Linked DNA regions of Neurospora crassa OR74A. The protein of the gene in region 1 binds, or shares a complex with, the protein of each later gene. Links are inferred from orthologs where the notes say so. Each region holds a gene or a part of one and is shown on either strand. Other genes may lie near its edges.

Evidence for each region. Proteins that work in one complex are often made in the same cells at the same time.
Region 2: the proteins of NCU07701 (region 1) and atg-8 are in contact, whole or in part, in a crystal structure (PDB 6AAF), measured with the Schizosaccharomyces pombe proteins. The link is inferred for Neurospora crassa OR74A from reciprocal best matches to the Schizosaccharomyces pombe genes hfl1 and atg8. Residues at the interface, in NP_593211.1 of Schizosaccharomyces pombe: Leu386, Gln387, Phe388, Glu389, Ile390, Asp391, Glu393, Met394, Glu395, Leu397, Tyr398, Gln400, Ala401, Lys402, Met404, Arg405, Tyr406, Gly407; in NP_596531.1 of Schizosaccharomyces pombe: Phe5, Phe9, Lys13, Glu17, Arg20, Ile21, Tyr25, Arg28, Val31, Ile32, Lys46, Lys48, Tyr49, Leu50, Val51, Pro52, Asp54, Leu55, Gly58, Gln59, Tyr62, Val63, Lys66, Arg67, Thr87, Phe104.

What each region holds. Positions count from the first base shown.
Region 1 is NC_026504.1:2,173,000-2,177,159, reverse strand, and holds NCU07701 (DUF300 domain-containing protein), read right to left. Parts: upstream 2,801-4,160; 5' UTR 2,494-2,800; coding exon 2,408-2,493; intron 2,328-2,407; coding exon 2,310-2,327; intron 2,239-2,309; coding exon 2,185-2,238; intron 2,115-2,184; coding exon 1,028-2,114; intron 970-1,027; coding exon 424-969; 3' UTR 106-423; downstream 1-105. Other genes in the region: NCU07702 (hypothetical protein), read left to right, coding at 3,584-3,630, 3,704-4,160. UniProt on the Schizosaccharomyces pombe protein: Vacuole membrane protein that recruits ATG8 to facilitate the degradation of vacuolar integral membrane proteins during early-stationary vacuole turnover (EVT) when cells enter stationary phase.
Region 2 is NC_026502.1:3,123,300-3,126,554, forward strand, and holds atg-8 (autophagy protein 8), read left to right. Parts: upstream 1-1,375; 5' UTR 1,376-1,494; intron 1,495-1,613; 5' UTR 1,614-1,711; coding exon 1,712-1,801; intron 1,802-1,870; coding exon 1,871-2,088; intron 2,089-2,161; coding exon 2,162-2,219; 3' UTR 2,220-2,755; downstream 2,756-3,255. UniProt on the Schizosaccharomyces pombe protein: Ubiquitin-like modifier involved in autophagosome formation. With atg4, mediates the delivery of the autophagosomes to the vacuole via the microtubule cytoskeleton.

The DNA.
Region 1 (4,160 bases):
ACCGCTTCACTGGGCAAGGATATTCGATGCTATTGACTTTTCTCGTGTACTGTTTGACACTCCAAAAAGCAAACAGGGCTCCTTCAGGGGCAAGCAAAGAAAGACCGGCGGTAGAGACTTATGTCTACAGGGTAGGTCAATTTTTTGTCAACACCGCAACACCAACACAAGAGTACCATATGTGTGCTTAGATGAAGATAATGTCTACGAATGCTCTACTTGCAGGTTTGCTATACCGAAATAAACAAAAAGCCCTGTGCCAACGCCAGTCCGACGCCCGCACAACTTAATTGAACCTGTAGTTGTAGTGTATGCATCCATACCACGGTCTCTTTGACACCGAAATAATTCCTGCAACACGGAAGCTCGAAAAAGCAAAGGAGAAAACTCAAAAGCAAAAACAGCGATTCAGGCAAGATAATGTCACCTTCCCCACACGTTCTGAAACTCCTCTTCACCACCAACAGTAAAGTGTGGGCTTCTCTCTTCCTCCCCTTCGGTATCCGTAGCATGACCCCAGTGGTTAGACACTTCCGTGACCGGTGTACCTTTTCCGTCATCCTCAGGATCATGTGAGGTGTCATGCCCGGGCGATGTGCCGTGCGGATGATGAGGGCTGACATCGTCGACTCTGAAATCATCTTCTGTAAGTTTAGAGGTCGTGCCCATCATGGGGCCATATGCGATCTCCAAGGGATCCATGCCCTTGTCTGGGGTAGAGTTCGTGGCCCGTTGACCATTTGGGTCTGCCTTCTTTTTGCCCTTCTTGTCGTTGGGAAGGGCTTCAGGGCCTTCTGGTGCCTCCTTCTTGCGCCTTTCGAGAGGATCCCTGGGGTTAAGCGTGGGCACTGAGCTTCTACTTGAGGATGATCGATTGTAAAAGCTCCCGGTGGGAGTGTTTTGGAAGAGACTAGGATGAGGTGATCGATAACGATCTTTCCACGGCTCGTTGGCTGTAATGACGGGATACTAGAAACAAAGTCAGACAATGTCAATTGTGCCATGTAGCGATGAAGCAGTTCCTTACATTCCAGTCACCAAACTCGAGTTTCCTAGCTCCTGCGTAGAGTTGTTCTTCCTCTGGATCAAGTATAACCTCGTCAGCATCATCGTGGTGCGGAGAGGACGAATTGCTCCTCCTGCTCGGGCCGCCGTTTGCACCCAACAGCGGAGTGTTCTGAGTGATTTCGTCGGGTCTTGGTATCCAATATTTGCCCTTGCCTCCTCGCTCATATCGCATGCCTTCCTTAAGTCTGGCCAGTCTCGACCGCGACTGCTCATGTGCCATGATCTTGTCGCCCGAGTCAAAGACACGGTAACCGTACTTGTCACCCGTAAAAGTTTCTTTGGAGTCCTGGATCAAGTCGCGAATCCCGAAGGCGTCCCTCATCGCATACTTGACCGGCATTCTTGCGGCAGACACTCTGCTGTCGGCAAAGTCGTGCCAAGAGAAGGCATACCAGTGAGCAATGGCAAAGGCTGGCATCTCGAGACAGATCAGGAAGTCCTGAATGGCTGCCGCAAGGCCGTCTTGTGTGTATCCTTCGACATTCGGGAAAGCCCCGAGAAACACCAGAATTCCAAGGGCAAAGCCTTGCCAATACGATGCAAAGATAATGGCCTTTACACACAGGAACTTGGGCATTGGTCGGAAAGGCTTTAGGTCGTTGTTCATGCATACCCAGAACAAGCCCAAACAGTACAAGCTGACTGTGACGCTGATGTTGTAGATAATGCCGCTCCAAAAATAGCCCGAGTTAAGTTTGATGTCGCCCTCATGGTAGCTCCCAGTTGCTTTCATGATAACAGCTGCTAAGGCCAAGATTGGCTTCATCCATGCATATTGCAAGATGCCCCGCTTTATGGCGAGGAAGGTATGCGGATCGGAAATATCAACTTGAGGGAGGACGTGGTTCATCGGCCAGAGATGATGGATCGGCTCGCGACCATGGGTCATGATAATAAGGGCTCGTTCTCCGCCCAAGTAGTTGATTAACAGCTGGAAGAATGTGTAGATGGTGAAAGCCTCGTATATGTCTCTGATGGGGTCGACAAAGGCTGCTGCGGTCCGTGAAACCATGCTAGTCCATGAGGCGATCGAGTATATTGGAACCCTGAAGATGGAGAATGATCAGGAATTCCGCCCACAGAGCAGTCCCACAGGGTGATAACAGGTAAACTCACATGAGGAGGATCCGTACAACATAACGTTGCAAAAGCGGCTTGCGATAGTTTTTACTGCTGAATATCAATGGCCGGACTTGGATGAGCAAGACGTTCGCGACACGGGCGATGGGTGGGCAACTCACGTTTGGAGCCATATTGACCTGTTAGAGCTTGGTCAGCATGATATTCAGACGCTGGAGTTGGAGCTGCGACACGATGCGGATCTGTAGGGTAGACATACACCATGGAGAGCAGAGTCGCGACAATAGAGGCGACACCTCCGACTATGGTTGCCACATCGGCGAGCTTTTGGCCGGTGCCTCCCATGTTTTCTGTCTCGGGATCCTGGCAACGAGGTATCTGGACGGAACTTGGGGCCCGAAAGCTGCGCGGCAACGCCTTATTGATCGCAAGTAGAGTAAAAGCCGTTCAACCTATGGCATGTTGCGCCGGCATGGTGGAGCGAAGACGCACTGGTATTGCACCTGGAACAGGTGCAGCCTAACGGTGGTAACGGGATCGCGATGTCACCGACGAAAAGATAGGTATCTGGGTGGGATGGAGGTCGTAGTTGGCCCGACGTCTCGTGGTCTGGGCAATCGGGAGGGGAGGTGACGATGACGGTCGGAGGAGCCCGCAGGCCATGCATGACGCTGGGCTGTGGGCGGGCATCTACATGTACACACCTACCTACCTCTACGCTAGGTACTACTGCCGTCGCTGCCCTGTAGCCTAGGCGGCTAGGGTATTTGACACCCCATTGCCGTTGGGAACCGCAACTTGGAATGCCAGAGTACCGACGGGGTCTGGGTTTTGAAACAACTGTGCATACCAAGTTTGCACTGTCTTACCCATCTCTAAAGACAGGACAAAGTGAGTGAGTTAGATGATCCATACAGTGTATATACTTGACGGGAATCAGACAAACCCCCCTGCCCATCAAGGTTCGTCTCGCTCTCAAGAGATAGTGTACTATTATGCAGCAAGTATGTACCTTCGTCTGCCTACCTACACAGCTCCAGTCGCTCTATCCAATTCCAAGAGCCCGCCCCTAAAATTGACTTCAGGTTGGAATTGGGAGCGACCTGCAATTCTACGTCCGCCATCCTAGCAAAGGGAAGCAGGTACCACGTACCTCTACCACCACTTGCGATTGTCAAGGGAACCTGTGACAGCTCCCACTATCTTGAAGTTGGTGAACTTCGACATGTCGTCGCTTGCTCCTGCGCTCTGTTTTCTTTAGTTGACGTGCGACGACGTCGACCTCTTCGCAACATCTTGCCTTCTTTCGATTTGCTTCAAGCGGCACCATGGAGAGTGGCATGAATATACGGCGCATACGGAAACTGTCCAATCCACGTTGAATGTTGGCCGGCGAAGTACTTCTCTACGTCTGGCGACTTGATATTCAAACACGATGGCCATCCGAAACAACTTCTTTGACGACCAAGGGGGGTTCAATGGGTGAGTGACTCCAGACCGGACAGACAGTCATGCGTTGCGCTTGTTGCTAATCCTGGCCGGACCAACTTCACAGCCTTTTCTTGGGATCTCTCATCATATGCGGCGCATTATCAATATTCTCCCTCCTTTATTTTAACAGAGTCTTTGCGTCTCTGGTGTCGTGGGCATTGCGGACATGGACCTGGCATCAGTACAAAGTCTACATCGACATCCAGGCTCTCCAGATCTCTCTACTCGGCGGTCGCGTGTTCTTTACTGGCCTTCGGTACCACGGCGCGAACGAAACAATACTGGTCCAGAATGGCTACATAACATGGAAATACTGGCTGCGCAGAGTACGGGGCGTCAAGATCTCGGCGAAGGACGCACGAGGGCATAACGAGACCGACAGCAGTTCCGACGCCGATCCCATCACTGAACAGCTGCCGACACCCAAACTTCCTTGCCGCATCAGTGTTTGCCTGTCTGGCCTAGAATGGTTCATCTACAATCGTAGTCCGGCTTATGATTCGATTCTGTCTGGCTTGACG
Region 2 (3,255 bases), on another chromosome or scaffold:
GAAATCGAGAGCTTGGCCTCGGCGGGTAGTCTAGTCTTCGCTGGGTAATCGCCCTGCCTGCTGGGGATCTCGAGGAGGGATCCGCTTGCTTGTGGTGCCTCGGAGCCGAATTCTCTTCCACTGGTTGGATCAACTATCAACTACCTACACTACTAATGATGGAAAATGACGCTATACCCGGAACAGGCTGATAGACAGCTCCTTCTGTAACCACGCTGCCATCCATGATAGCGCAGTGCCGTATCCTGTGCGGGCAGCCCAAACGGAACATTCGCGGGGTGTTCCTTGCATTTCAACGGCTCCAGTGGATGGACGGGGAACCGGACCCTGAGGAGCGAGATGTCCACTTTTGGTGCTGCACGCACTCCGGGAGCGACCGGAAAAGCCACCTAGGCGGACACCGAAAACGGTACCTGATAATAAACACACGGGCCCAGGTCCCATTGATGGCGGGGCAAATGGTCAGCTCCGATCGGACTTCAGTTGTAGGGAGGCCCGGGAGGAGCTCCAGGATAAAGCTTCATTGCCGATAGGAGACTACTTATCATGGATAAGATATACCAAATGCGAACAAGCGGAGAGAATGACGACTTCGCAGTGGTGACATCCATGACCTGGTCCTCCGTAGGTCTTTAATAGTGTAGAGGTACCTAGGTAGACGGCAGGCGAACAAAGCGGTCAACAAGCTGCCCGTGCAAGTTCGAGACGCTGGCCAAGGCGATGGAACCGTCCACGCCCTTCTTAGTAAAATGCGGTCTACACACGTTCAACGAACCGGGAAGCCAAAGGATCACGGCCACGAGGCTGCCCTTGGAACGGAAAGGAGGTTTACAATGCGCCCTTCTTCGGGCCATCCTTTTGTCTTGTCCATGTGCCGCTGATACAAGTGGAAGGTATCATCAACCTAGGACTTGGTAATGTGTACTACAGTAGTGTACATGGAACGAGAGATAGGAGGCGGATACGGACCTAGTGCTGCGTCATTGCTAGGTACATACCTCCACGCCGCCCCACTGATGGCCAAGAGGTACCGTTCAGGTACCGCTCCTAGCTGAGTGCCGGGCACGCCTTCGCCTTGAAATGCCCCTGGAATGCCACTGAAAAGGCAGTGACCTGTTAAGCTTGACCATGTGAGCGACGGCCAGTGACCCATCTGATTCACCGACTGGGAGCGAGCTAAGCCCAATCGAGGATCGACTCTCGCTTTAGTCATCTGGTCAGCCCCGCCTCCGCCTGCTGGTCACCCGCTTAGTGTTCAGGTTGTCCTGGCGTGCCCGTCCAGGGCCTTTGACCCGTGCTGCGCAGACAGGCGGGCAGGCGCCAACTGGACGCGGCCGATAGGCAACACTGCCTGGCAACCTACCTACTAACATACCTTACATCGATGGTCAAAGAGGTACATCAACCCTTCTTCCCCCTCTTCATCCTCTTGCCGTTTCTTACCTCTGACATCTCTCCCCAGCTTCCTCATTTCATCACACGCCAGTCATCAAGGTATGTTCTGCATTTCCAGCCGGCCAACACTGATTCTGCTCCTTGTGGAAGCCATCCATGGTCCATCTCCCTTTCAATAGCCGCTTCTTCCGACTAACACCGGATTCCGTCTATCGCAGACATCGTCTTATCCATCCATCGTATCCACGCTTGTAGTCAATCTCAAAGCCAAACACCTATCACCGCATCTTCCACATTATCAACCCAAACCGCCAAAATGAGATCCAAGTTCAAGGACGAGCACCCCTTCGAGAAGCGCAAGGCTGAGGCCGAGCGTATTCGCCAAAAGTACTCCGACCGTATTCCCGTAAGCATCCCCCATCCGGACGATCCCGCAGTCACCGCCCTTATCCCTAACTAACACATGTCGCCACAGGTTATCTGCGAAAAGGTCGAGAAGAGTGATATCGCTACCATCGATAAGAAGAAGTACCTCGTACCGGCGGACCTCACCGTGGGCCAGTTCGTTTACGTCATCCGCAAGCGCATCAAGCTGTCGCCCGAGAAGGCCATCTTCATCTTCGTAGATGAGGTCCTTCCTCCAACCGCTGCTCTCATGAGCAGCATCTACGAGGAGCACAAGGATGAGGATGGGTACGTGGCAGCCTCCATCCCCCATCATTTTTTTTTCCAACTGTAACCCAGACTAACGTGACTACTACCACAGTTTCCTCTACATCACATACTCGGGCGAGAACACCTTCGGCGACTTCGAGACTGCGTAATCATATCCTCTCTATCGTTTTGCTTTAGACGTTGTGGGCGTTTTGGGATTCATACACGATTACTGGATCAATGAGCGGGTTGGTGGGCTGTGCATCATGTTGTTTCTGCTGGGTTTATATCCTTAGGGTCACGTTGGCTGAAGAGGGGGAGGGCTTGCTACGACAGAAGGGACGATGGGACTGTGCTGTTGGGGTCTGGACTTAGGTGCCACCTGCAGCCGTATGAAAGTGAAGTCCCCTTTACTTTGCTTCCCGGTGTGCTTTGGTCTAGAGACAGCATCATTTGCCGTTGGATTGCCCGGTTCACAAATCAATGTTACCCTCATTCTCTATGCCCTTTTTCACCACGCCGGTGACTTACATCCCTTGTTGAACCCCTCCGAACATGAACCTTGGATACATGGCCGCAATGGAGGCACATCACGAGGACGGTAGTTCCATACGTGGATATCACGAGGAAGCACGTAGCTTATAGAATATACGATAGGTATTACACGTATCCTAGCTGGGTATCGTTACACTGGTTGTCATGGTTGATGGTCTCTGTGTATAATGACGCTTGGTTAAATCCATTGTGTGTTGAGCTAACTGTTGGTCTTCCCAGTTCTTCTGAACCGATTTGATGAAATCACGGAGGACTCCTACGACAGTGTCGCCGTCGGTACAAACTCGCCAAACTCGTATATCCGATTCTGGCAGTCTTAGACCAACTTCATGCTTCGCCAATACAAGAAAGATGTGCCGACTACTTGGCATTGCATAGGTCTGCAGCCTAACCTCCAGGGGCAACTCCCAAGACACTCAAAGTAACCTGCCTCGGCGCATGACTGACACGTTTTCATCAACTTCCTCTGTCCTCTACAAAATTAACTTCACATCGCTGTTCAAACATTACATCAAATTTGATAGTTATATTGTCTTCTACTATAACCAGTCATCACAAAACTTCGTCTGATCATGATCATGTGGGGTCAAAACAATGGGCTGTGGCTGCAGCAATAACTGAAACAACAAAGGGCTATACGTGCGGGATGAG